Cricetulus griseus: one gene and its partners. The protein of the gene in region 3 interacts with the protein of the main gene of each other region in a biochemical or structural test. Links are inferred from orthologs where the notes say so. Each region holds a gene or a part of one and is shown on either strand. Other genes may lie near its edges.

What was found.
Region 1: of the proteins of Xiap (region 3) and Pten, one has a biochemical effect on the other in vitro, tested with the Homo sapiens proteins (2 studies listed by BioGRID). The link is inferred for Cricetulus griseus from reciprocal best matches to the Homo sapiens genes XIAP and PTEN.
Region 2: the proteins of Xiap (region 3) and ubiquitin-conjugating enzyme E2 D3 form a complex in vitro, tested with the Homo sapiens proteins (5 studies listed by BioGRID). The link is inferred for Cricetulus griseus from reciprocal best matches to the Homo sapiens genes XIAP and UBE2D3.
Region 4: the proteins of Xiap (region 3) and Ube2m form a complex in vitro, tested with the Homo sapiens proteins (2 studies listed by BioGRID). The link is inferred for Cricetulus griseus from reciprocal best matches to the Homo sapiens genes XIAP and UBE2M.
Region 5: the proteins of Xiap (region 3) and Ube2d2 form a complex in vitro, tested with the Homo sapiens proteins (6 studies listed by BioGRID). The link is inferred for Cricetulus griseus from reciprocal best matches to the Homo sapiens genes XIAP and UBE2D2.
Region 6: of the proteins of Xiap (region 3) and Tle3, one has a biochemical effect on the other in vitro, tested with the Homo sapiens proteins (2 studies listed by BioGRID). The link is inferred for Cricetulus griseus from reciprocal best matches to the Homo sapiens genes XIAP and TLE3.
Region 7: the proteins of Xiap (region 3) and Htra4 form a complex in vitro, tested with the Homo sapiens proteins (2 studies listed by BioGRID and IntAct, with this or other methods). The link is inferred for Cricetulus griseus from reciprocal best matches to the Homo sapiens genes XIAP and HTRA4.

The regions. Positions count from the first base shown.
Region 1 is NC_048596.1:28,744,195-28,747,694, forward strand, and holds part of Pten (phosphatidylinositol 3,4,5-trisphosphate 3-phosphatase and dual-specificity protein phosphatase PTEN), read right to left. Parts: intron 1,325-3,500; coding exon 1,100-1,324; intron 1-1,099. UniProt on the Homo sapiens protein: Dual-specificity protein phosphatase, dephosphorylating tyrosine-, serine- and threonine-phosphorylated proteins.
Region 2 is NW_023276806.1:24,045,351-24,049,542, reverse strand, and holds the start of ubiquitin-conjugating enzyme E2 D3, read left to right. Parts: upstream 1-1,392; 5' UTR 1,393-1,516; intron 1,517-1,599; exon of another isoform or gene 1,600-1,728; intron 1,729-1,958; exon of another isoform or gene 1,959-2,097; intron 2,098-2,969; 5' UTR 2,970-3,119; coding exon 3,120-3,143; intron 3,144-4,192. UniProt on the Homo sapiens protein: Accepts ubiquitin from the E1 complex and catalyzes its covalent attachment to other proteins. In vitro catalyzes 'Lys-11'-, as well as 'Lys-48'-linked polyubiquitination.
Region 3 is NC_048604.1:25,910,638-25,914,768, reverse strand, and holds the start of Xiap (baculoviral IAP repeat-containing protein 4), read left to right. Parts: upstream 1-1,331; 5' UTR 1,332-1,359; coding exon 1,360-2,233; intron 2,234-3,414; coding exon 3,415-3,514; intron 3,515-4,131.
Region 4 is NC_048602.1:25,624,911-25,628,895, forward strand, and holds Ube2m (NEDD8-conjugating enzyme Ubc12), read right to left. Parts: upstream 2,801-3,985; 5' UTR 2,738-2,800; coding exon 2,630-2,737; intron 1,823-2,629; exon of another isoform or gene 1,808-1,822; coding exon of another isoform or gene 1,777-1,807; intron 1,448-1,776; coding exon 1,352-1,447; intron 1,225-1,351; coding exon 1,186-1,224; intron 1,084-1,185; coding exon 980-1,083; intron 702-979; coding exon 638-701; intron 554-637; coding exon 413-553; 3' UTR 39-412; downstream 1-38.
Region 5 is NC_048595.1:201,744,477-201,748,762, reverse strand, and holds the start of Ube2d2 (ubiquitin-conjugating enzyme E2 D2), read left to right. Parts: upstream 1-1,486; 5' UTR 1,487-1,595; coding exon 1,596-1,619; intron 1,620-4,286.
Region 6 is NC_048597.1:172,932,988-172,936,487, forward strand, and holds part of Tle3 (transducin-like enhancer protein 3), read left to right. Parts: intron 1-2,193; coding exon 2,194-2,398; intron 2,399-3,500. UniProt on the Homo sapiens protein: Transcriptional corepressor that binds to a number of transcription factors. Inhibits the transcriptional activation mediated by CTNNB1 and TCF family members in Wnt signaling.
Region 7 is NW_023276807.1:58,688,724-58,692,929, forward strand, and holds the start of Htra4 (serine protease HTRA4), read left to right. Parts: upstream 1-1,406; 5' UTR 1,407-1,473; coding exon 1,474-1,960; intron 1,961-2,332; coding exon 2,333-2,432; intron 2,433-3,170; coding exon 3,171-3,375; intron 3,376-4,206. UniProt on the Homo sapiens protein: Serine protease.

The DNA of each region.
Region 1 (3,500 bases), on a different chromosome or scaffold from region 3:
CTTGTACGCAGGAACTTGCTGCCAGTGGGCTCCCTTTCCCACTCATTCCCCTTCCTCCATCCGCAACCTCTCCCTAGTTTCCTAGCCAGTCTCAATGTAAGGGAGTAAACGGAATGTTTAAAGACAAACTGAGATTATACCTTTTCTATACTAAACACTCCACATTGTCATATCAAGACTGGTTCTCTTGTGGCTTTCAGTGGAACTGACTTCGGCCACTCAAATATATCAAGCTCATTGCTGCCTCAGGGTTCTGGCATCTACTCTTCCTTTTTCTAAACAGCTGCTAGTTTGCCCATTTCATTCAGACCTCTGTTTGCATATCATCCATTTGACCAGGCCATCTTCTGCATGTTCCATAGTTCTTACCTTGATATATTTGTTCAGTTACAATGAAAATAGCTTTTATAGACAATAACTTTTTCTTTTTATACTGTATTTTAGTGATTGTTTTTGTAGGACTTGGTGTTGAACTCGGGTCATCACCCATGTTAGGCAAGCACTCAGGTACATTGCCAGAGAAATATTAACAGCAAAACTAGAGAGAAATACACTTAAAAGCAAGTGGTTGCCAAGTGAGGCAGGAGGAATGCCAGTTCCTATATAGCAAGACTCTACCTAAAAAACCAGAAAACAGAAAAACAGTTGAGAGAAATATAAACTTATAGAAAAGAAAGGAAATTAAAACTTGAGGATCCTCTAGGAAACTTAAAACAACCTTGAGATCCAAAAGCACTGAATAGTAGTGCTATTTTCCCTTAACACATATAATTGTCTACCTCTATTTTAAGTATTAGGAGTATTATTATGCTCGTAATCTATGTTTAAGTTTGTTACATGTGAATGAAACAAATACAACAGAATTAAGAAAGGAAAAAGGAAAGGCTGAAGAGGAGGAGGGAGAGGAAAAGAAAGAGGAGAAGGAACACGAGCCAGTAGAGGAATAAATAGAAAAAGGAAAGGCTAGGCAACCACTTAGGAATGTTACAAACTGAAGGGTACTAACATAGGTTTAGTTTTAAATGAGTGAAGCCAAGTTCTTCAGCTACACACTTAGAATAAAACACACATTCCCACCCCAAAAATGGTTTTAACTGACCTTAAAATTGGGAGAAAAGTATCGGTTGGCCTTGTCTTTGTTTGCTTTGTCCAGATCATTTTTTGTTAAGGTAAGAACTAGATATTCTTTGTCATTATCTGCACGTTCTATACTGCAAATACTGTCAATTTCCTGATCACAGAGACTTCCATTCTCCACTTTTTCTGATGTTTCCTCTGGTCCTGGTATGAAGAATGTATTTACCCAAAAGTGAAACATTTTGTCCTAAAAAAGAAAGATGTATTTTACTCATTTAAAATATTTTACAAATAGCCAACATAATAAATCATGTACAATCTGGTATTCTAAGTGAAGGCAAACAACTCATAGAATGTCAACATTCTTATTAACTAAGTTATCTTTTATTCAAATTTCAGATAAAAATATAATCTTTTATGTTAAGATTCTAAGTAAAGTATTTTCTATTCTAATACCAGATTTTAAAAATGTTTTGAATTTACATGTATGTAGACATAAGAAAAGTTCAGGTGTTTTACTTCAATAGAAAACCTAGGAAGGTTAGTAAAAGCTCCCTAAGGAAATATGGCAACTATATTTTGCCTGGAGATATGTATGTATGTACATCCTGTGAATGCCTGGAAGCCACAGAGGCCAGAAAGCAATTCAGATCCCCTGGGACTGGAGTTACAGATGATTGTAAGCCAACATGAGAGTGCTGGGAATCAAACCTGGGTCCTCTGGAAGAACCACCAGTGCTCCTAAATGCTGAGCCATCTCTCCAGCCCATGACAAGTCTTTTCAAAATCTTACTGATCTCAGTTACTTCAGCAAAGTTGTTAACTTAGCAACTATACTTTGCTTTTAAAAAAAAAGGGGGGGGGGTATTATTTAAACTCCCAAAATGTAGCTTGTTGATGTGTGCTAATTTTCTGAAACTTTTTTTATTTAAATCAGAACAGGCACTTAACTAAGTCAGGAAAAGCTATGATAAATGCAAATTTACATAAAGTAATCTAAGATATACAAATATAAATATCCAATCTTCAGTTTCATGTATATAAATGTGCAATTGAGATCTGGAGGAAGAAACAGCACATTCCTAAAAGTACAAGGAGTGAGTGAGTTATCTATTTTAAAAAACAATATAAAGCCAAGTATGGTGGTTCATGCCTATAATCACAGGACTTAGGAAGTCAACGCTAAAGGACTGCTTCATCTGAGGCCAACCTGGGCTACTTAGTGAGTTTGGGCCAGTTCGGGCCAGCCTGAGCTACAAAGTGAGAACCTGTCTCCCAACAATCAAACACTAACAAAGAAAATCAGGAATAAAAATTTGCATGCACAAGTACACACACACACACACACACACACACAGCACACACACACACACACACACACACACACACACACACACACACACACACACACACACTCAATTTTATATGAACCTTGAGTCTTCTAGGAGGTAGGAGGAAAAACCAGAGCCTTCTAAATACCTGACGTTTGAAATACTACTGGCTCATACTTAGCTTTTTTTTTTTCTTTCTTAGAGGTAGAAAATTGAGTCTATGATAGAAATAGTAATTTGTGATCTTGTTTACTTACTTTTAACTACTTAGATCCTATTTAACATTTAAAAGTTTTATAATAAGTGAAATTTCCTTTTATCACTTTTTTAAAAATCTAAAAATTGAGAAAACGAAATCCTCTTTCTGGTGATATAAAATCTTTCATGTTTTACAGGTGTCAGTCAATTCTAAACAAAGTTGGTGTCTTTCTCTGAAACATGTGCACCTTAGACTCTTTGAAATATTTGCAACATTCCAGATTAAGGTTATTACAGCCTTCTCTTAAGTGTGTCTCAAGCCTTAGTATTCTGAACTCACATGTTCAAGTATATTTTTTTTTCACTTTGTTTGCTTTTGTTTTCTCTGTGTCACAGTCCTGGCTATTCTAGAAGTCACTTTGTAGACCAGGCTGGCCTCGAACGCACAGAAATCCACCTGCCTCTGGCTCCCGAGTGCTGGGATTAAAGGCGTGTGCCACCAACACCTGGCTCTTTTTTTTTTTTTTTAAATCACTTCTCCATAGCTGGTTCTTTCAACTAAATAATACTGACTAAACTCTCAGCAAATCTTGGGAAACAAAATGTAAAATAGCCCAGTCTCAAGAAACATAAACCCAACTGGGTAAAATGAGGCTTGTGTCATTTGTAAGATCACAGAACAAAACAAAACAAATAAAACAAAAACAAAAATCCACAAAGGCTCTGCTTTCATGTTCCATCAATGTCACAGATGAGGCAAGGTGTGTGCAAACCTAACAAGAAATCCATCAAAACTCGGTGGGCGGCAAAGAAATACTGTATCTCAATCTCCTTAAGAAAAAGGTCTGAGGTTACTCATGGCACAGCTATTTCTACCAGATAGAACTCAAGTGC
Region 2 (4,192 bases), on a different chromosome or scaffold from region 3:
AAAAAAACAGTAAGCAAAAGCCGCCATCTGGGTTTCTCCCTCCACCCCATGCCTAATGTTTGCTTCTACTTTAAAGGGTGAGCCTGAAGAGAGAACAATGGGTTGTTTTCAGGGAGGAGGAAGTGTCAGAGGTGGCCAGGAGAGCATCATGTGCTCAGGGTTTTACTAAGTCAGAAATGCTCAAATTATTCCTATCACTTGGGAGCTTGTTGTAAATGTATAATCTCGGGCTCCTAGTCAGGCCTAATAAATCAAAATCAGCATTTTAAACTAAACTACAGGTGATTCCTATGGACACCAGTTGAAGCAGCTGTATCCCACCGATTGCTCTAGTGACATTTTTAATGTATAAGCAGCTATATGTGTATATATATATACACACACATATTACACACCCTCATTCTTAGAATATATATTAGATCCTTCATCAATTTTTATCATTTAATTAGGGACTACTGTCTGGAACAAGTTTTCAAAATTCAAGCTATTTCCATGTAGTCCTGCAGAATTTCACTTCAAGTGGGGTTATTCATGGGTGCCAGAAAACCCTAAAGCAGGTCCATCCTTTCTGCCTTTAAACGCCTTTTGAAAACTAAAGGCTTAGTTCTTTTTTTTTAACCAAAGAATACACTAGATGACAAACGGCCCTCTACACCTTAACCACGGCGGCCCAAAATCAGGGCAGTGGTACACTTGAGAGATCTCACCCCTGAATGTAATCCAGACTGATTCCCTAATGTTTTACCACTTTGGGGCTCAAAAACTGCAGCAGCACCGGGAGAAAGAAGATCCTCAGGCATTCCTTCCTCTGGCTGTTCCCCACCTGACTGCCTGACGTCGGGACTCTAAGCAGCCCGATCACAATTAAGCCGCATTGTTAAGGCTACGCTAACGCTCGCCCCTCGGGCCGCGCGCGGCTCACGCGGGGCCCACGTGGCGGTGCGAGCAGCCCTCAGCCTGGATCTGTTGTAAATTACCGTTCCCAACCTGAGGGGAGCCTCCTCCCGCCGCTTAGCCCTCTGCGAGGAGCCCGGGAAGAGAGATCTCCATCACCTGGGCCCCCGGAAGCCCGGAGCCCGCTCCACCTTCGCTAAGGCACCGAGTCACCCCGCGGCCCCGCCCACAGCCCGTCCCCCATTGGACGCCCGCGAGGGGGCGGGGCCAGCGCGCGCCGGCCGCACGCACGCACGCCCGCCCGCCCGCCCCTCGCTCGCGCCCGCCCGCCCTCGCCCGCCCGCCCTCGCGCCCGGCCGGCCTGGGGAATTCCATTTCCTCTCCCGCCCACCAGCAGAAGCACTCAGGGGCGGTGCTTTCGGCCCAAGGCCCGCCCAGTGAGAACCTGGGGGGGAGGGGGGCGTGGAGAGTGCTACCGGCGCCTCTCGCGATAAGTTGCGGATTTGGGGGCGGGCCCCAGCCAGGAAGAGAGCACAAAACTGCCCTTAAGTCATTGCAGAGCCGGAGCTCCGCTGAGCCGGCCACGAGGTTCTCGCGAGATCCGCCGCCTCCGCCATACCAAGTGAGGAAACCAGGGGGCCGCGGTAGGGAGGGGCGCGGGGGCCTCGACCGCGCAGCTGCCGCTCCCATCCCCTTCCTCCCGAGGTCTCCTTCCGGTTCTCGATGCTTCTCTGAGTCTCAGGGTTTCCGCCGCTCGCCTACCCTCCCCTCGGCCCATGACCCGCCTCCGTCCCCCGCCCTCCCGGCCCGACCTCCGAGCAGTGGAGTGAGAAGGTGCTGTGCGGTCCGGCCGGGAGGCGGCAAGCGGGTGGCTGGCGCGTCGGCTCGGGCCCGGAGGCAGGGAGGCAAACCGCTGCCCTCAACCCTCGCTCGCCTCGGCTCGGCTCGGCTCGCCCCGCGCGCGGCCCGCGGCTCGCGCTCGCGACGGCGGCAGCGGCGGCGGCGTTGGCGGACGGATACGCGGCGGTGAATAGGCGGGGGGAGGGGCGGAGCGTGGCAGCTGGCAGTAGTTCCGTCAGAGCGAGCGGACATCTTGTGGCTGTGCCGTGCGCGTGAGCCCCGTAGGGCCGGGGAGGCACCAGCTGCCGCGCGGGGAGGAGGCCGAGGCCGAGGCCGCAGCTCGAGGGAGGCCCCGGCCCCTCTGTACGCGTGGGTGGGGACGGCTCGCTCGGCCCGAGGGAGGGCGAGCGGCCGGGGGCCGGCGCGGCGCGGAGCGGCGCCCGGGGCTGTGGGCGGCCGAGTGGGCAGCCCGCGGGCTGGGGTGGGGTAAAGGGGGGAGGCCGGCGCGGCCGGGGCGGGCGGGCGGGGGGGCGAGAGGGAGGACGGGAGGACGGGCGCGGGGGGGAGACAGGGGCGCGTCCTCCCTCGCGCCGGAGCCGGAGCCTGGCGGCCGCCGCCGGCGGCGCGTGGTGGTGAAGGAGGAGGCTGGGCGCGCGCACGTAGGAGCGCGCTGTGAGGCGGAGAGGAGGGAGGCAGTGTCAGGGGCGACACGGAGCAGCCCGAGCCGTGGGCACGGCCGCACACGCGAGCCCGCCGCCCGCACGCCCGTCCGTCCGTCCGCCCGCCCGCCGACCTTTGGAGCGGAAACGGAGAGCAGCCCGGCGCCGCTCCGGAGCCTCCCGCTCCCCTCCCCCTTGCCTTTCTTTGCCCCGGTGACGCCGGCCCAGCGCCGGCCGGTCCGGCCAGCCTGCCTGCCTGCCTGCCTGCCGACTAGGCCCCGGCTCCTCCTCTGCCCGGCCCCGGCCCCGCACCCACCCCCTTCTCCTCCGCCTCTTCCTCTCCCACCCGGGGCCCTTCCTTCCGAGAGGCCGGGAAGTTAAACTCGTAACCTCTTCCCGTCACCCTCGCCCTCTGCGGGGCGAGCCGCCGCCGCGGGGAGAAGCAGTGGTTGGTGGCTTCGCTACCCCACCCCGCCCTGCCCGGATCGCGGCGGTTTGCAGGGATCTCGGAGTCGGCAGGGTTTTCTCCGCGGCCTCTGGCGAGTGGCTGATCTGCTCCGTTTTTGCAAAAAAAAGGCGCCTGTGTCTGGCAGAGCCGCTGGGAGGAGGAGGAGGAGGAGAAGGAGAAGAGACGATCCATCCTCGCCGCTGGGATAATCAAGAGTTTTCGGCCGGGCCTTTGAGTACACATCGGGATAGTGAGGAGCCCGGCGAAAAGCACAGACTATGGCGCTGAAACGGATTAATAAGGTAAGTTGTTGGGACTGACTAATCCGGACGGGGGGCCCTGGGAAGCCAGGCAGGCAGGCAGGCAGGCAGGCAGGCTCGGGCCCAGGGGGAAGTGTGGAAGTGGGGTGCGAGTGTAGTTTATGAGATGAGTTTCTTTAAGTTGGGGGAACTGAATGCTTTTGGCAAGCGAAATGTTAGACCGAATTTCTCACAAGAATTTGTAAATTAATGGGTGAGAGCGTGGCTTTCAGGCACCTCGGTTTTGTGCCTCACGAAGAGTTAGTCCGGTTTGGAAAGTGGAATTGTGTAGAAGCCCTCGGGCAGATGGCATAGTACTGCTTTCCTATTCCTGGTTCTTCAAAACTTATTTTAGGTGTACTATGCTTATAGGCCTTCTAGGAAGAAAAGGAAACATGAAAAAGAAAACATTTTATTCCGAACTTTACTGAGGGTCAAGGTATTATAAACAAACCTCGATTTGCTAAAAGGTAGTGACGAAGTCTGTCCAGAAGCTTAACCCAATCTGGGCAGTTACACAAGACCAAGTGGGGTTGGGAGGAGGTGGACTGACACTGTTGCCACTTCCTGTGTTGTGTGGTCGCAGCTTGCACCCGAAGCTATTTATCTGAGGCACGGGAACTGATGTAAATGCCTTTAGGAAGATCCGTCCGGGGTGGGGGGGTGCTTGACAGTGCAGGAACACAGGATGGACCCACTGCTTTTGCTTAGGACACCCCCTCCCCCCTCCAGCCTTGTTTCAGCAATCCACTATAATTTGATAATTTACGCTGTCGGTTTCAGTTGGGCAGAAGCTAGGATTTTTCGGAGGTCTAGTGTAAGAAGAACTACCTCCTCCGGTGGTTTAGTCTCATTTTATTGCTCTAACTTCTATCCCGCATTTTAAGATGGCGGCTGCTTTAACTGGTTCGGGTTCTTTCCGACACCATCCCTTTTTCTAATAATAGGAAATAATGTTCTCTGTTAACGTTAACTGTTTTTTTTATATGGTTGTAGGGAGTTCTAAGGGTCTCTGCCTCCAAGACTTAACCTAAATTCAAACTCTTGAGACT
Region 3 (4,131 bases):
TACATCCCCCTTTGAGAAATATCTGGATATGTATTCATTGCTACATCAGAATCTTTCATTTTTGCTGTTATTTGAGTTTTAGCCATTTGTTTATTTTGCATTTCACAAACATACTGAGGACAGAATGGCAATGTGGAAGATTCTGGAGAACCAGCTTGTCTTGTAGCTAGGGTGACCACATGTTCTTCTATCTGCTTTGCCTATGGTGACCATGATTCATGCCTGTTATCCTTATGCAATTATTAGTAGCATCATTTAGCACTTTACCATGTTGGAGGACAAACTGTCTTGCCACTCTTCCCATAATGCAGCTGATTCCTCTTGGTATGTTATTTGGCCTAAACATGACATCGTTGTAATTTGGCAACTGTAATGAGTGTTAAATTCTCTTCCATTTAAACAGGCTATTTCTTGACCAACAGAAGTTGATGGCAAAAGTAACTTCAATTAATATCTGTGACTTTTAGAATGTTTAAGTCATTATAATATTTTGTTTAATATTTTTATTAGTTCTTTGAGAATTTTATGCATGGCATTTTGATCACAGTCACCTACCTCCCCAACTCCTCCCAGATCTACCACCTGACTTTGTCCTTTTGTTTAAATGCAGCAAGTTTAATTTGTGCTTCCTATATACCCTTGGGCATGGCCTCCACCAGACCACTTTTTTTTTTTGCTAAGCAAGAAAGTAAAAATATATTTAAAATTAATCCATGAGCATTCTAAACATTCATTTTTAAGTAGTAAAAATTGAACTTTGATGCCTTGAATATGAAATGATTCATTATAACTATTATGCATAGTCTTTAATAATCTGCATGTTTTATGCTGCATTCATGTTTTTCCTAATTAAAGGCTTCATGTGTTTAATATTTATAATTTTTCTGTGTCATACTTTCCATATTTCTATAAAATGAGTACTTAAGATTCGTAATTCTGCTGTTTGTTTACATATTGTTTTCCATCAAAAGAGAAAGTGGGACTGAGATTGAGGCTCATTTTCGGCACTTGCCGAAAATGCCAAAGACCCTGAGGTGGATATCCAGGACTACAATAAATAAGAGAAACAGGCTGGTTTATAGTTCTGTGTTGGAGCATGTGTCTGGCATTGTGTGAAGCCTTAACACTGAAAGAGAAAAAAAACAAAAGCACCAGATTTTAAAACTCAAGTAGTAATGTAAGGCTCTAGTGTTTAGAATTAAATGTGTCTTAGTGATTGTACCACTGTTTTTATGTTATCAGTGGATAATTTGTTAGTGCTTAGTATCAGAAATATGTTACTTTTGTTATGTGTTTTGGATTTCCTAATGCAATGTTCTCTTTTTAGAAAAGGTGGACAAGTCCTATTTTCAAGAGAAGATGACTTTTAACAGTTTTGAAGGATCTAGAACTTGTGTACCTGCAGACACCAATAAGGATGAAGAATTTGTAGAAGAGTTTAATAGATTAAAAACATTTGCTAACTTTCCAAGTAGTAGTCCTGTTTCAGCATCAACCTTGGCACGAGCAGGGTTTCTTTATACTGGTGAAGGAGATACTGTGCAGTGCTTTAGTTGTCACGCGGCAGTGGATAGATGGCAGTACGGAGACTCAGCTGTTGGAAGACACAGGCAAATATCCCCAAATTGCAGATTTATCAATGGTTTTTATTTTGAAAACAGTGCCACACAGGCTACAAATCCTGGTATCCAAAATGGCCAGTACAAAGCTGAAAACTATGTGGGAAACAGAAATCATTTTGCTCTTGACAGGCCATCTGAGACTCATGCAGATTATCTTTTGAGAACTGGACAGGTTGTAGATATTTCAGATACCATATACCCGAGGAACCCTGCCATGTGTAGTGAAGAAGCCAGGCTGAAGTCCTTTCAGAACTGGCCAGACTATGCCCACTTAACCCCCAGAGAGTTGGCCAGTGCTGGACTGTACTACACAGGGATTGATGATCAAGTGCAGTGCTTTTGCTGTGGTGGGAAACTGAAAAATTGGGAACCCTGTGATCGTGCCTGGTCAGAACACAGGAGACACTTTCCCAATTGCTTCTTTGTTTTGGGCCGGAATGTTAATGTTCGGAGTGAATCTGGTGTGAGTTCTGATAGGAATTTCCCCAATTCGGCAAATTCTCCAAGAAATCCAGCCATGGCAGAATATGAAGCACGGATCATTACTTTTGGAACATGGATATACTCAGTTAACAAGGAGCAGCTTGCAAGAGCTGGATTTTATGCTTTAGGTAAACTTAACCAGTAAATTACTTTCCATCTGTCATAGGGCTCCTAAAAAGAAAATCATTGCCTTTAGTCTTCTGAACTAATAAATATTTAGGCATAAGTTTTCAGGATTGCTTATCATTAGTATCATTCTCTGAACTCATATGTTAAATCTTCATTGTCATTACTGAATTTATGCTTAAAAGGCCATGCTATTATGAGTCAGATCTGTATTCATACAGTTGTTTGAGGGTTGAGTTGAGAGAAGAAAAAAGATGGTATTGATTCCTGATAAATAATGGGTCTAATAGTAATAATAGCTGCCATTTAACGAGCATCTACTCTGTATGCTCAGCATACTTATTACATGGATTGTCTGTAAGCTTCACCACAACCCTATAAACAGAGTTAACAGAGAATTTAGGTTGGTTCATGGTAAACTGACATCAAGCTAAGCATGGTGCCACATACCTGTAATTGCAGCAGTCCATAGGCTGAGGTAGGAATGAGTTTGAGGGCAGTTTGGGCTACGTCATGATACCCTCGAAAAGAACCAAAGAAAAAGTAACATCTTTAACATACGCTACATATTTGAAAGCTGCCCTGTATTATGCCTTATTGCATCAGAGTATTTTTGAAACAGTCACAGTATGTGACTTAAAAGCCAGTAATATGGTTGCTTCTAGGAATATTTTATATCTGCATGCCTGGTCCACTTATTTTAAGATTGAATAGTGCTAAATTCAAAATACAAATTATTTCAAATTTTTTTCATTTATATAACATAGTAATCTTGAAGGTCTTTTTCATGTCAGAGAGCTCTATCCTTAAAGACACTTACTTTGTAGTATCTGCTGAATTTTATTATAGTTAACATTTGGAATATAACTTGTACAGATTTCAGTTTGATGAAGTAAGTGTGATAGTAATGACCCAAATGACATGCACTAGAAAGAATGTAACAATTGTAGTTTTTAACATAAAATCTTTGATTTTACTTTTGTTGTCTTCTACAAAGCACCCCATATCGGGATGGTAAATTTAGTGTGTATTTCCTGTCAAATGATAAAGATCGTATCTAGATGGAATATGAATGTTTTCCTTTAAGCCATGAGATTGTATGTAACTTAGACACCTCTTAAATGTTAGAATGGGCATTTTTTGATGCACAGATACACATAGTTTTACGTGCATGTTTCCTTAGGTGAAGGTGATAAGGTGAAGTGCTTTCACTGTGGAGGAGGGCTCACAGATTGGAAGCCAAGTGAAGACCCTTGGGAACAGCATGCGAAGTGGTACCCAGGGTAAGATTCTTAATTGTTCATTCAGGAATAGGCAAGTTGGACATTGTGCAGGAGAAAGATTTGAATTACTTTTCACCTCAACTATTTTTGCCTTCACTATGGCTTGTAATTCACACCAAGTTTATAGAAATGGGGTCACCTACTTCGTAGGCCAAAAAAAAAAAAACCCACCTAAGACTTCTGGTAACCAAAACATTCACTGTTCATATATTATATGAGGGTTCCATTTATAAACACCAAATTACAAAAATGTGTACTTTTTATTTAGTATACTATACAAAAATATATCCTTTTTATTCAGAAGTAGACTCTTTGGCGAGTGACCTGAGCCCATGGTACCATGGGAAGTCCTGAAGAGCTGGCATAATGTATATTATTATTTGTGTTTTGTTTGCTTTTAGTTTGAAACAGTTTCTCACATTAACTCGGTTGGCCTGGAGTTCACAATGTCTTCCAGGCTGGCCTCCATCGTGAAACTCTCTTGTCTCTGTAAAATAAAGTACTCAGCTATATAAGTTGTATGAGTTTCTAATATATAAAATAATACAACTTAAAATTTTAGAAGAACCATTTGAAAAGACTCTTCCTTAAGCAACCCAAGTGTTCCGTATTGGTTT
Region 4 (3,985 bases), on a different chromosome or scaffold from region 3:
TGTCCCTCCCACCCCACAGAAGGAAGAGGCACAGGCCATGCAGTAACATTCCCCTTTAATAGCCTGGTGGGACCTCCAGTGGTGGTGGGGTGGGTTGCCTGGGACCAGTGACCCAGGCTCATTGCCCACTTACCCCACAGTCAAGAGTGGGGTATTGGACAGCACCCAGCGGGAGGGGGGGGCGCTAAACAGGCCAATTCATTTCCCATCGCTGAGCAGGTCGGGAAAAGGCAGCACCGACCATAATCACGTGGTGGTTAAAAAAAAAATAACTAGGGACAGGTGACAGGGAGGAGAGGTAAGGCCAAGGCAGGGGCCAAGGCTACCCCACATATCCTACCCGGGCCCCCAATAAATATTTGCAGGGGATGCCTGGGCTGGTGACCCTGGCAGGGATGGGTATTTGCTAACCCTATTTCAGGCAGCGCTCAAAGTAGGTGGACCCGATGTAACCACCTCTCATGGAGCGCTGCACGTTTTGTTCAAACAGCCGCCGGTTGTTCTGCAGGACCTCGGCGGCCTCCTTGTTCAGTGGGTCCTCGGGGTTGGGCTCCTGTGGCCAGCACAAGTGGAAGTTAACAGGCAAGAGAGGCAGATGGCCAACAAACCCCCGCCTCAAATGCCTGTGCCTACTCACCAAGAAGAGATACTGCAGGCCATAAATTATGGAGTTTATCGTAAGGACTGGCTTCCAGTCCTCTCTGTGGGCAGAGAGCATCAAGGTTATCACATGTTGGTGAGTGGGAGGCTTCAACAGGCCCTGCTAGTACCAAACAGGTCAGGCCCATAGGAGGCCCGTAACCCTGAAGAGTGAGAGGTAAGGAAGGGGTAAGACATGGAACGGGGCAGGCCATGGAGAAAGCCAAGGCTGGGCTATTAGGAAGACAACGTAGAAATGCGAAGACAGAATCACAGACGGTAAAGGGCAGAGCAGAGCAGAGGTGGGCCTCGGGAGGGAAAGGGGAGGCAGGGCCATCACCTGAGGATGTTGAGACAGACGTTGCCCTCGAGGTCAATGTTAGGGTGATAAACCATTGTCTCACACTTCACCTTGGGGGGGTCATGTGGATAACCTTGTCCCACCTGGCCCCAGAAAAAAAGGGAAATGAGAGGGGCAGGTGTTTTGGCTATGCCTCAGCTGCTGCTACTTCTCCACCGAGCCACCTCGGTCCACCTGGGACTCACCTTAAAACTGAACACAAACTTCCCACTCTTGTAGAAGCCCTGGGAAAGGGAGCGAAGAAGGAATTAAGACCCCCCATTCTTAGGGTTTCCCATTCTCTATGGGCGGACAGCACCCCCACCCCGGGGTCTGTTCTTGGGAACCCTGCCACCCACGTTTTACTCTCACCTCATCAGGACAGATAACCAGCTTGAAGTTGAGGAGGTCGTCTGGGTCTGAGAAGCTGATGTCACAAGTCTTGGGCAGGTTCAGCTCGTTAATGTCTAGGTTTAGGCAACAGTGAGAGGGAGAGCAAACGACGGCGTGAAGGTCTGGGCAGGTGTTAGCAGGACTTCCCAAGTTCTCCTTCCTGACCTGTAGGGCCCCGGCGTGTGGTGGCCTCACACCTCGCAGGGTGAGTCCTACACACTCTTCCCACTTTCCAGTCTCTCGGTGGACTCTGGTGGATACATAGTATCCCCACACGTGAGCATCTTCAGTTGTAACCGGACGCCTATCTCTCGGGAAGGGCCAACCTTGATTAACCCAACTAAATCCCCACCACCACCACCACCACCACCACCCTTCCCACAATGCAGTGAGGGCCCAAGAACCTCTGGCTTCCAAGAGATTGCCCCTGAGCATTCTAAACTTGAGGCTGCGTGGTCATGACCTCCACTCGCGACTGGTTTACCCGTCCGTCCTCATTCGAGGACCCTTCCCACGCTAGATCGGCCCTTCCCATCAACTATCCACAGCCTCCCCTTGTCCTTCTTCCTGTTTCTCGGGGGTGGGGGGGTGGTTATTCCACGCGCCGCTTCTTCTCATCTGACTCGTGAAGACTCCTAGCATGGTAGTAGCTTCCATGGACCCCGACTCCCATCTTTATTTTATCCATCTATGTATCTATCTATCTATTTATTTATTTTTAGTTCCTGTCACCTGCTTTCCTCCTCCCCCCCCCCCGCCTTTCACCTCAAACTCAAAACTGCTCTGCCCTCCCCTCCCGTCCCCTCCCCCTCGTCCCGGAGTCCCGGGGCTCCAGGTCTCCCAACATCATGACCCGAGGCCGTGTCCTTCCTCCCCCTCCTCCTCCTCCTCTCCGATTCGCAACCTTCACCCCTGTCTCCACGGCCCGTCGTCACCCCCGCCAAGTTCCCGTGGGACTCTCAAACTCTCCCCCCCCCCGGTCCCCTACCGGATCCCCGGCGCCCTAACCCTCCAGGCCTCAGGGTCCCTCCCAAGGCCTCACCCGGGGCCCCCGGCTCGGACCGGCCCTCCCTAGCGACCGCACCCCCGTCCCGCAGCGCAGCCCCCCCCCCACCCCGACTTCCGATACCCCCTCCCCGCCCTCCCCCCTCCGCCCGCCCGCCGCCCCGCCACCTCAGCGGCTGCACCTTCGCACCCCGGGCTCCCCGACACCCCCCCACCCGCACCCCACCCACCGCACCCCACCCCAGCCCCTACCTTCTGGATCCGGAGCTGCGCCGCCGACGCCTTCTTGCTGCTGCCCTTGGTGCCGCCGGCCGACTCCTCCTCCTTCTTCTGCTGCTTCAGCGAGAACAGCTTGATCATCCTGTCGCCGCCGCCGCCGCCGCCGCCGCCGCGGGGCCCGGGACCCCGGCCACCCGGCCCCCCCGGCCGCCTCCTGCGCCGCTTCCGCTCCTCGGACCCGCTGCCGCGGCCTCCCGCTCCTCCTCCTCCTCCTCCTCTTCTTCTTCTTCTTCCTCCGCTGCCGCCGCCGCCGCCCGCCCGGCCTGCCTGCCGCGCTGCTCCGCGCCCACCGCACGGCCCGCCTCGGCTCCCGTAGTCCGGCTCTCGGCCTGGCTCAGCGCCTCGGGTGCGTTCGGAGGCGCTCGGGAGGACTCGGCTCTCGTCGGCCCCGCCCCTGCTCTCGGGCGCCCGCCCCGCCCCCACCCCCGCGCCCTCCTCCTCCTCCTCCTCCTGCTCCTGCTCCTCCTCCTCCTCCTCCTCCCCGTTCCCCTCTTCCGCTCAGGTCTTGCGAGAGGGCCCCCGCTGCGGCCGCTTCCCTTCCCGGCTCCGCCGCTCCGCTCTCCCGCCTGCTTGCTCCCTCCCTCCCTCTGCGAGGAGGCTGCGGTGAGGTGGGAGGCGGAGGAGGCGGCAGCCGCGCTGGCGGCGGCAGGGTTACCGGTGGAGGCTCAGCTCCCGCGGCAGGCGCGGCTTCGGTGCGGAGGTCCGCAACGGCCTTCGGGCGCCCCCCCCCGCCGCTTCGGCACTTTCCGCCGCCTGCCTGCCCCCCGCTTCGGTTCTTCCTGGTCCCCCCCTCCCCCGGCTGCGGGCTGCGCCTGCGCGGCCCCCTCCCTCCCCTCCGTTGGCTCCTCGGTTGGGGTTCGGCCTTCTTCGGTTGCTCCTCGGTTGGGTTTCGGCCTTCTTCGGTTGCTCCTCGGTTGGGGTTCGGCCTTCTTCGGTTGAGCTCGGCTGTTTCCGTTCGTGGAGGTGCCTATTCGGCGGCCCGGCGGCTGCGCACACCCAGCAGAGCAGGAAGCGGGGCTGGCAGGCGTTTTTTTTTTTCTTTTTTTTTTTGGAGCGAGTCGCGTAGCGGCCGTTTGGTGCCCGCTGTTTCCATCCACTCTTGCGCTTAGGCGGAGCGGGCTAGAATGGGTGTTTGCTGTCTGTGGGCTCAGCAAAGGCAGAGCCTGGGCGTTATTGAGGGACGTTGTCTGGGCTCCCCTTCATCCCATCGCAAAGCCAGATTCCGATGGATGGAAACTAGTTTAAAACTCGTACTGTTCTTGAGCACAGACATTCAAGGACATCGGGACCCTTGCTCCTTAAAATAGATTTCTGTCGTGCAACCGAGGG
Region 5 (4,286 bases), on a different chromosome or scaffold from region 3:
ATTCCTAAGTTGCTTACTTTCTAAGTTGTTTTTTGTTTGTTTGTTTTGAAATAGGGCCTCACTTTGTAGCCCTGGCTGTTCTGGAACTTGTTCTGTAGACAATGCTGGCCTCAGATTCACAAAGATGCACTTGCCTCTGCTTCCTGAGTGCTGGAGTTAAAGGTGTGCATAACCACAGCTGGCTACTTTCTCAAGTTTTAAAGTCCTTTCCTTTAGAACTGCCTGAGTCTTAATATGCCTCCTTAAAATTTCCTGGATCTTGCTGGACGGAGGCAGGCTGATCTCTCTGAGTTCGAGTCCAGCCTCGTCTACAGAGCAAGCTCCAGGACAGCCAGAGCTACAGAGAGAAACCCTGTCTCGAAAAACCAATAAAGGAAGGAAGGAGTTGCTTTTTACGTACAAGAATGTTATCACTGAGAAAAAAATTAGAAATTTGACACGGAGGCATTTTTCATCACATTTCAAAGAGACCTGGGCCTCCATAATGTTGTTCCTCCTCATTCTAGCATACAGAATCTGGGTGACTTGCTACAATTTTCTCTTTGGGGGATCCACCTTTGTGCTCGAAGAGAGGTGATCAACTTAGCCACCTGCTGTGTAACCTTATCAAAAAATTCTCTCCATATTTTCTTATTCTCCACGGCGTATTTCCTAAGGCTAACACGCCGGTGGCTGTGGAGAGAACATCGAGTCATGGCTTGGACGGGGCGGCCAGTCTCAAGGCTCCCTGTGCAATCTGGTAGTACTAATCCTGCCAATAAATGAAGAGTTGTGTGACCTTGGAAAAGTCCTTCTCTCTTTCAGGAAAGTAGCAGCGGGATTAGGTACTCTCTTCCGAGTCCGATGGTGACTAAACAATGTGGAAAACACGTGCCTTTAAGCGTTTATTGATCTTCGAAGCCCCAAGCGCACAGGGTACCAGATGCTGATTTGCGGCCTTGGCGGAGGAGCATCTAGAACCCGCGCGTAAACTCTCGCGAGATCTCCTCTCAGTGTCTCGCGACGTCATCCCCTCCGCGGCGTGGCTGCGCCGGCGCGTAAGGTACTCGCAGGGGCGGCCCGTATCCCTCCGCCGCCGGCCCGGCCCGGCCCTCCCTCCCAGGCCCGCCAATCCCGGAGCCTCCCGACCTGCCCCTCGGCCTGGGCCCACCCCGCGCTCTGGCGGCCCCACCCCGGCGGCGCGCCGCCCGCCGCCCGCGCGTCTCTTAGTCCACCTGCACCAGGCAGGAAAGTGAGCTTCCCCGGCTCCGTGGCCATCGGGCGCTCTGCGAGCTCGCAGCTTGGGGCTCTTCCTCCCCGGCGGAGGGATCCACGGCGGCCGAGGAGGCGGCGCTGAGCCTACGAGGAAGAGGCAGCTACGGCGGCTGTGGCAGCAGCGCATAAAGGGGCCGCCGCCGGGTGATGCGGTGACCGCTGCGGCAGGCCCAGACGCTGAGTGGGCCTCGGCCCTCAGCTCGTCGGATCCGCGCTTCGGAGCTCCCGGTCTTCTCCGGCCGACTCGCGACCGCTCGGGCGGTCTCAGGCCCCCTCGCCCCGTCCCCGTCCCTCCCCCGTCCCCGTCCCCGCCCCGGGGGCCGTCGCCACCGTTTCCCACCATGGCTCTGAAGAGAATCCACAAGGTAAGAAGCGGCCCGGGTGTTGCTGGGGGAATGGGCCGCTGGGCGAGCCCGCTGAGGAGGCTGCGGCCTGCACTTCCCGCGGTCGCCTCCACTGGGCTCGCGGCGTCTGGTTCCCGCTGCCGGCGCCGGCCCCACGGGGCGGCCTTCACACCCCACTCCCAGAGATGGCGCCCGCGAAGGCTGGAGCGCGGGGACCTTGCTTAGGCCGAAGTTGCTCTGGTCCTCGCAGTTTCCTCCCCGACGCCTTTCCAGGCCCCGCTCCGGCCTGGGACTTGCTGCTCACTAGGGCTATTGTCCGGCCTGGGAAGGGACTTGGGGGGGCGCGGAGGGGGTAGCGGCTGGGGCGTTGGGCGGCCCCTGTGGTCCGAGGTCGGGAGGACTGTTGTCCAAGCTCTGTCCCCCTACTCTGGCGCCCTTCGCTGAGCTGCCCGAGATCCAGGACCTCGACAAGCCGACCAGAGGGCTCATTTGCCCGACCCACGGGCTGTTTTCTTGAGTTCACTTAACTCTTTGGCAGCTAGCTGCACCCTTCAGTCCACCTTACTGGTCTACAGACTGGAGTAGAAAGTCAGAGGGAAGAAAATGCCACTTCGGAGGGAGAAGGGAATTAAGTGGACAAGGGTTTTATTTCGTGGGGTGGGAAACTAACACTTCAGTTTTGCAGGATTGGACCTAGTGGAACAACTGTTTACCTGATAGGGTAGAAGCCAGTCAGTTCAGAAAACCGAACGTTGAAAACCGCCAGAGAAATTGCTTTCACAGACTTCTCCCAAAATGATTTTAACGCTAAAATTAGATGGTGTATTCGAGAAGACTCCTAATTTAGAAGGGATTTTACTCTATTTTTGGGTAGAAATAGTTTTAGTTGTCTTAAGTGAAAGGTTATCCATTTATTTGTTGATAAGATTTAACACTACAAGGAGAGCATAGGCTTGGCTTAAACTTTAGGGTTTCTCACCCCCCCCCCCAATCTCTTAGTGTCACTATATTTCCTTGGACGTAAGAAGTCGCCCACTGTGAGTTTTGTTTGGTGTTTTATTTGGCTCCTCAGGTGGGCCATATTAAATCTTTACCTTATTAGTAAGTGGTGGGACCTGGGATTACCCATACGGGCTGATGAGATGGGGATACAAAGAATAGAGAAGGAAGTCAAAATGCAGATTGAAAGATGGAATACCACAGTTGAGCAATTGGCCCTCTTTATTCAAGGCTTGGAATGTGGAATTAATTCCATTCCTTACTTCGAATTAGCGCCTTACCAACTTTTGGTTTCGTTGCTTTCTTAGAAATCAACGGATAGCCTTTAGCAGTATGTCTTGTACTAAGATGAAGCAGGGTCTTTGCTAAAAGAAGTATGAACTTTAGTAAAAAAAACAAAACAAAAGAAAACCCTTGAAAAACCTTGTGAGGGATAAACATCCAAGTAATGTGTGTGTATTTTTGTTTTTGTTTTTCGAGACAGGGTTTCTATGTGTGGCAGCCCTGGTTGTCCTGGAACTCTCTTTGTAGACCAAGCCGGCCTTGAACTCACAGAGATCTACCTGCCTCCTGCTAGGATTAAAGGCACCTGCCACTGCCGCTGTGGGTGTATTTCTAAGACTTCAGCAGTCATATAATATAGGGTCTTATAGAGTCTGATGGGAAGCTATTGATTTGAAATGCTGTTTGAAATATACCTATAGAAGATTGTCCTCCAAGGCTGGGAGAGAATGTGAGTTTGATGTATAATAATTTGCATCGATAGTTTTAATTTTTTTTTTTTTTTTTTTTTAGGTAGGGTCTTCCTAGCTCTGTTGGCTTGCAGCTTACTATGGTGTAGACCAGGCCGGCCTCAAACTGTTTCTGCCTTCAGAGTGCTGAGATTAAACTAGAAAATTAATGGCTTTTAGTGTTTGTATTAATATCTGCTATAGAGACTTCTTCAGAGAGGGAGATAACACTGACTCAAAACACACATTTAAATCTTTTTTGGTTTTTCGAGACAGGGTTTCTCTGTGGCTTTGGAGCCTGTCCTGGAACTAGCTCTTGTAGACCAGGCTGGTCTCAAACTCACAGAGATCCTCCTGCCTCTGCCTCCCAAGTACTGGGATTAAAGGCATGCGCCACCACCACCTGGCTATATTTAAATCTTAGATTAACATCTGCCCCTAGCAATATCTTCTGTTTTTGAGATAGGCTGTCACTGTGTAGTTCAGGGTGGTGTTGATCCTGAGTACTGGAATTCAGGCATGTACCAGCACACCTGCCACCACTAAATCTTTTTGTATAGTACTAGGGATTGAACTCAGGATCTTAACGTATGCTAAGGCAAACACTCTGCTACTGAACTACATTCCCAGTTCTTACAAATCTTTAAAAAAGAAATCGGGTTTAGAAATGATCATTTGACATTTAAAGGGGTGTGTCTGTGTGTCGGTGTCTGTGTATGTCTCAGCCATAATCCTCGAATTAGAGGATAACTTTGTGAAGTCTATTCTTTCACCTTTTCATGGGTCCTGGGGATTGAACTTTTCTTCTTCCAGACAGGGTTTCTCCTTGACTCAGACCAGGATGGCCTTGAATTCACAGATAATCTGCCTGCTTCTGCCTCTCCAGAGCTGGGCATAAAGGCATTCGCCACTACCATATGTCTGTTTTGTTTTAATAAACTTTTTTTTAAAGATTTAT
Region 6 (3,500 bases), on a different chromosome or scaffold from region 3:
CTAGCCATGCTGTGGAATACTAAATAGTCATTCAAAAGGAAAGTTAATTTTTTTTTCTTCAGAACATTTTTTAAATCGGGGCCTATAAATAACAGCATGATCAACAAGAGCTCATTTGTGGAGAATCACACGGAAAATTGTGAATCTGAAAAATCTGGGTTCCAGACAGACTGACAATGGCTCGTGAGGGTGGGATGAACAGGGACCTTAAAAAGAACAAAACTTTTAAATCTTAAAGAAAATCTTGTTTTCTTAACAATGAGCATGTGTTATTTTGTGAATATGTTAAAAATTCATTTTCTTTAAAAGGGAAGGTGGGGAGCTGTGTTCGGCTCCCGTGTGAAAGTTCAGTGTTAGCCAAGAGGACTGGAGGTCTGCCTGGCACACCATGATTCTGCTCCCTTACCTTAGTTCTGCTGTGACACTAGCAAACCTAGAGTCACATCACTCTTAAGACCAGTGGCCACCAAAAGCTTGCACAGGTGCCTAACAGTGGGGTTATCGCAGGTCCTCTGTGGTTCAGGGCACTGGCTGTGGGTAACAGTCCTATAGATAGATCTAAGGCATGGAGCCTTGGGGGCCAGAAGTATAAGGCTGCCACAGCAAGCTTGACTTAGAGGTAGAGCAAGGTCAGCAGTCTGGAGGGATCCTGGAAGCTTTTAATCATCGACCAAATATCTGTAGGAATTTCCCAGATTTGAGAGCGCTATTTCACAGGTCCAAGCTCCCTCAGCCCGTGCTGATACCTTGGCTTATTACATCATTGCTGTATATCTGCCTTCATCTTGTCCCTCGTGCTTTGAAGTTCTTTGGAATACTCTGTAGACGGTGTTAGTGGTTGACAGAAGAGTTCAAATTACATTTAGGAGTCACGGGACTCCAGCTGCCCACTCCAGTGCCCCTTTATCAGTTTATAGTCTGTAAAAATGGGCACAACCCTTCCTCCACTGGGTGACTGTTTGAATTACAGGATCTTTTTGGATAGTGTCCAGGGATTTTATATGCACATACAAATGGCCTTGGTTACTTTTTCTGGGACTAGTCAAGACAAAAGATGTGTGCATGGGTGGAGACAAGCATACCCAAAGGCCCAACCAGTCCCAAGAAATATTTCCATCTCTGAGAAATATTTGATACCATATAACCAGTCCCACAATGCCAGGGGTTCTTGGCATAGTCTTACGAATGAGGGAGCATTCCATCTTGGCTGCTGGGGGAACATGGAAGCTTCTGAGCTGGGAGCTTGGGATTGGGGGCAAAATGAGATGAGCAGCCTCAATGCTGGCAGTGGGAAGAGGCGTCAGGCAGCAGAGTCCTGGGTTAGGTGTGGGGAGGAACAGGAGCATGGCTGTTATTGTGTGGCTGGGAGTACTCAGGTTGTTACAACAGCGGGAGAGCCCTTTGAGAACTCCGTGCAAGTGTGGAAGTGCCAGTGACTGCCATGAAGCCCATTGAGCAGTGGCTGCGTGCCCAAACCCCTGTTACCTTATGTAGTCCCCTGTAGTAGGTGCTGCCTCCCCCCTTGTGCAGATGAGGAATTTGAGGCTTAGGGAGTTGATTCCTTCCCCCAGCTGTGCAGACAGTAAGTGCCAGAACAGGGACATAGCTCCTGACCCATCTGGTTTCAAGGGCTCTCTGCTCTCCCCGGTTCTGTGGCTCTGTGTTCTCTCTACTCTGATGGCCGAGGACATCAGCTTTCATTTCACCAGTCCTGGTACTTCTCTGCTCTGGCCTACCCTGTCCCCACTCTGCAAGCTTTGGGTTTCTTCAGGATCATGGAGGCTTTGCCCAGGTTCCAGCTTTGGGTGGGAGGTGCTGGCTGCTGATGTTAAAGGCATGTATGCATGAGCTATGAGCTTAAAAATGGGTTCCTCTCAATTGAAAGGAAGCCCTGATGACCCTGTGGGTTTTAAACGCATGCATTATTTATCTTGGGCTTGGAAACAGGCATGGGAAACTGTCCTGAAACTGGAGGGGGAGGTGGGGGGGGATGACGCTGGAAGACATAAATCTTCTACGTTGCAGTCCATTAACAGATTTTGTTCAGCAAAATGAGCATGTGGGCTGAGCGGGCAAGTGGGGGGGGTGTTGTTTCCCTGTCGCTTAACGGTAGAGGAGCGAGGGGGAGGGGCAGAGGTGACCCATCCTCTGCCCTGTCTGACCTATCATCGCTTACCACCAACTTCATTGCAGCAGCAGCAACTCCAGGCACAGCACCTCTCCCATGCCACGCATGGTCCCCCGGTCCAGCTGCCACCCCACCCGTCAGGCCTTCAACCTCCCGGGATCCCCCCAGTGACAGGAAGCAGCTCCGGGCTGCTGGCACTCGGTGCCCTGGGCAGCCAAGCCCACTTGGCAGTGAAGGATGAGAAGAACCACCATGAACTGGATCACAGAGGTGTGGCTTTGGGTGGGCAGGTGTGGGCAGGGTGGGCTGGAAGACACACCATGAATAGACATGGCAAGTCCTGTCACCTAGAGTCTGGAGTTAGCCAAGACTTGGATCCATCTGTTGAGTCCTTCGACCCAGTGACCTGTCCTAGAGGCAGTCTATCTAGAATAGCCCCCATCTTCCCAATTGCACCCTGCCTGTTCTTTAGGGCCAGGCCACCATGTCCTTCAGGATGCTTTGGTGATTGGATGAGGGCCTTTTCAAAAGAGCTTGTGTTGGGGCCCCTTGGTAGCCTTTTGTTGCTGCCTTCCTCTATCCAGTCAGGTTCTTAGTAGTGCAGAAGGTACACTACTCAAGCGCTGCTTGGGGTTTTGCTCAGTTGGTAGGGTACTCGCCTAGCATGTCTGAGCCCTGGCTTCATTCCTTGGCACCATACAAACTAGGGGTGGAAGGGCATGGCTGTAAGCCCAGTACTAGGAGATGGAGACAGAATGCAAAAGTTTATGGTAATTCTCAGCCGTATAGTGAGTTCAAGGTCAGCCCTGGGTATTTGAGACCCTGTCTCAGACTAGTTAGTGGGCCATCTTATGTGCTGGTCTCGGCAATACTCCAGCTGGAGTCTAGAAAGTCGAGGAATGACAACTCGTTTCTGGTTCCCCCTGAAGACCCAGGGAATAGCACTATTAGGGGTCAGGAGGACATCAGAATTAAAAAGGACCTGACCCCCGCCCCCCACCATGCAGCCCCTTAATAAAGTTGCCAGCTTGTACGTTTGTTTGGCTTTTAGGTATTTACTGGGCCACATGGCCAATATCTTCCCAGCTCCCAGGGACTTTGGGGGAGGAGTCACCATCCTAGCCCTAGTCCATGCTGTATCCTAGGAACCAGAGACCAACTGTTTTGTGCCTTCTTGGCAGAGGAGGAGAGGACCATGGGAGCTGGTGCTTAGCTGGACTGGTGTAACCAGAGGCCTAAGCGTCTGGGGGCTTTTTGGCAAAGATATGGAGAATGGTGTTAAGAAAACAAAACAGTAAAAGTCACTCCTAAATTCCATTGGATTTTTTTTTTTTCTTAAAGCAATAACCTTCCTAGCTCTAGAAAGTGCAGT
Region 7 (4,206 bases), on a different chromosome or scaffold from region 3:
GCCTGAGTCTTGCTATGTAGTCCAGGTTGGCTTTGAACTGGTAATGCTCCTGCCTCCACCCTGCTTCCCGACTGCTTGGATTACAAGCATGTACCACCATATCCAGCCTATCTCAGTATTTTAATGTAAGCCAAAGATAGTGCATAAACTAGTTTTCAATGTATAAAATAGAACCCAGTGTGTGTGTGTGTGGAGGGGGAATAGGGTGTGATACAGTGTGGGTTTGTGGTTAAGCATTTATTGTGGATAAATCAGAAGGGATTTCTGAATTACTAAAGGTACTGTGTTTTTGTTTTTGTTTTGTGTGTGTGTGTATGTGTGGAATAAAAGCAGTCTCTGGGGTTAGGTCCTTCTTCAAGGCTTCTCAGAGAGTGTCCTCAGCACCTGAAGGACTCACCATCCAGTAGCCTTGAAAGGTTTGATGGACTTGTTTACCAAGGTCAGGTGATAGCTGGCAAAAATAGTGTGTCATTCTGTGAACCCTGATGAGAATATGGAAGACCACAGCCTAGGGAGGGACTTCAGGACAAAGCAGTGGAATGACACCTCTACCAAGTAGACATTCTCTCCCAAGTAGAATGATGAGCTTCTGGGGAGAGATTTAAAGCCCAGTGTCTTAGTTCAATGGAAGCAAACTGATTTTGTTTCCCTCTTGAAATATAAATATGCTCTCTTTAGGACTAAAATGACTCCCTGAATAAATAACAGATCAGTTGTTGAGCAGTGGATTTGATGTCTTCAATGTTAACCAAATAAACAGTCATCTGGTAGCAAATGGCAGCGTTTTGGAAATTAAGTTTCCCATGTCACCACTTTAATTTTGAATTTTTTTCCCTCTAAAATCTGTTTTCCTCAGATCTCTCCTCCCCACCCCCGCCAGAGTCAATTACAGTCACTCATACTAGGTAGGCTTTGAATACAGTGAATGTTTGGCAAAAACACACATCGTGACCCCTTGGTCCTCTGTTTATGAAGGTGTGGCATGGCCCGTTTGGGCCAGTGTTTGAGCTGTGAAACACCTCTGAAAGCACTGAGCTGAGTGCATGGAAACTCCAGCTTCTTATGTTTCGAGATTTCCTAATTGGTATGTAGCAAAACGTAATTTTCTAAAACTGTTTGGTTGCTTGTTTTTGTAATAAAAACATGTGAAATATGAAATCTGGTTGTTTGTTTTCTTGGTCAGATCTCGTGGCCGTGGGTGAGTGGTCACGTTTGTCACTTGCCCCATGACTGGTTTTAGAGTAGACCCTCCCTCCCTTTTATGGCTTAGAGGTGGGTGGCCCTGGCCCTGGGGTGGTTTGGGTGGTGGGTGATATATGGGTGTGGGTGTGAGCAGAAGTAAGCCAGACACTGTCCTTTATAAAGTCTGGAGTCTGGCAGGGTAGGCACCCAGGCCAGGAAAAAGGATTGCTCATTTTAGACCAGTTGTGAATTTTGAGTGAAGTAACTGGAAAAGTAGAATCCAGGAGGGCCATGAACAAGATGAGCTCCCAGCCGCTGTGGACCATGTGGGCACAGTTTCTCCTGCTGTGGCTGCTGCTACTGCCTGTTCCCTGGGCAGAGACCAGGAGGTCCAGAGGCTCGATGCCCTGTCCGGTGGCTTGCGATGCCACACGCTGCCCGCCACTGCCCACCTGCTCGACCGGCACGGCGCCGGTACCCGACCGCTGTGGCTGCTGCCGCGTGTGCCCTGCGGCAGAGGGTCAGGAGTGTGGCGGGGCGCGGGGCCGACCGTGCGTTTCGGGGCTGCGCTGCGGTGCCCCATTCTCCCGGGAGCCTGCGGGGGGCGCATGGCTGGGCACCTGCGGCTGTGTGGAGGGCGTGGAGGGCGCGGCGGTGTGCGGCAGCGACGGACGCACCTATCCCAGCCTGTGCGCGCTCCGGAAGGAGAACCGAGCCGCGCGCCTGCGGGGCTCGCCCCCGGCAGTGCCTGTACAGAAGGGAGGCTGCGGGGACACAGGTGAGCGAGGCTCAGGGCACCCCACCACCACACTCCCCACTCCCCGACACTTCTGAGTCTTCCTAAGAAGACTCTTAGGAAGTCTTTCATCTTCCTAAGAAGATGAAATGGGGGCTCTTTAGTTCTCTCGGTCTACCCTCCTTTGCCAGCTCCAAAGATTCAACCTGTTGTGGTTGTTCCTGGTGTTTTGCCTGGTTAATGTGGTCTCTACTGGTTGCTACGGGGATTCTTTCTTCTTTTCTTCCCTTTGGTATGCCTTTCATCCACTAGTCTGCGGAGGAAGGGGGACGGAGAGATGCTGGGAAATTTTGAGATGTGACACCTGCATCCAGGGAGCAGTGCCTGCCCTCACCATGGACCGTTTATTCACAGGGACCAGAAGTGCTGGGAGGCTCCGGAGGAAGTTTAACTTTATTGCCGCAGTGGTGGTGAAGGTGGCGCCATCTGTGGTTCATTTGCAGCTATACCGTAGGTAAAGGTCACACCCTGGGGCCAATTACCCCACTTGATACGCTGTGAGGAAACCCAGGTTCAAAGAGTTGGCGGGGTACAGCTGGGCAGTAGAGCTCATGCGAAGCATGTGGGGGAAATCTTAGGTTCCAGCCCAGTACCCGAAGAAAAATTATTAAGAGCTATTTTGCTAAAGAGCAAAGAACCAAGCATGAGGATTTTGGCTTCTAAATCCAAGCTACATCGGTGCACGTTGGTGGCTCGGGTTTCTTTCTCCCCCATACCCAAGCAAAACTTAGGGCTGATTAGAGGAACTAGTCAGCATTTGGTGGTCTCATTTAGCCCTAGCCATCACTTGCGTGCAAGTAAACCTGGATAGACAGAAAATTAACTTGTTCTATTTTACTACACAAGTTGGTAGTGGAAACTAAGAGCTAGATTTTGACACTGTGACAGGAGTGTGACCTGTTAACGCCAGGTTTGGACTCTTTGCAGCAGATGGCCCCCAGGTTGCCACTCCTGCCCTATTTGAAGGAGGAAGCAGTGTCCCAGCTCTGAGTTGTGTTCAGAAGAGATAGATGGCCAGGACATGCTACATGCCGCTCATATATACATGAAGAGAATAGAAGTAGACAGGGAAAAGGAACATACTTGTGAAAACTGGAGCTATGGTTGATAAATGTGAGGCTTGCTGAGACTCACAATGGATGGATTCCCCAGTTCCTGCCTTTGCTCATACTATTGTCCTGTTCCGGGACAGATCACCTCTTACCAACCAGGAAATCCCTTCCTCCAGTGGCTCTGGGTTCATTGTGTCTGAGGATGGGCTCATCATCACCAATGCCCATGTCCTCACCAACCATCAGAAGATCCAGGTAGAGCTCCAGAGTGGGGCCCAGTATGAAGCCACTGTCAAAGACATCGACCATAAACTGGATCTTGCACTGATTAAGATTGAGCCAAATGTGAGTTGAGAGCTAAGGCGGGGTCTTCACATTTGGGGATTTCACAGTTTATTTGCCGGTATTTCATTTTGTATTCCTTCACTATGCCTTTTCTTTGTATGTAAGGTATGTTTTTCTTCCTCTCCTTCTCCTTTTCCTCCTCCTAGAACAAAGTGATGAGTGATGTGGAGATTAAAATTTAGAGTATAACAACCTCACATTCCCTCAATGCCCCCCATTCCCTGTTACACTTCTGTCCCCACCTGTTGAGTTTCCAACCCCTCCTCAGGAAATGAAGAACCTAGTCCCCAAAGCCGCTGGGGTACAGACTCCAGGTTCTCTTTGCCTACCCCCTTTGGTCTACCCCCATCCCTGGGCAGTGCAGGTGACTCAGTCTGGAACGTGTAGGAGAACCCAGAGTGGGGACAGGGAAGGGAGGAGAAGGCTTAACCTCAAGAAAAGAGATGGCGTACCTCACCAACCTCAGAGTAGAGGAGGGTGAAATTCAGACTCCTACACCTGGGGTACCAATAGGACTGGTACAGAGGAAAGGACACAGCTCCCCCTAGGTCCCAAGGAAGGGAGACCCTGTAGCTTCACACTCCTTCCTTTGGAAACAGTCAGTGATTGTTTGCCCTTCTGGGGTGGGTTACAGAGCCAGGCTGGGCCACATCCCCCTCCAGCCAAGGCTGTTCACAATGAAACTGATCTCTTGCAGGGCAGACTCTTGAACTGCAGGGATGAAATCTCCTGGTGTCCATTCACTCTGTTCCTGAAATTCATTTACTTCCTCATGCAGGCCTGTACCAGGGTCTCTGTTTCACCTCTCTCCTTAGGTTCTCATTTTATCTG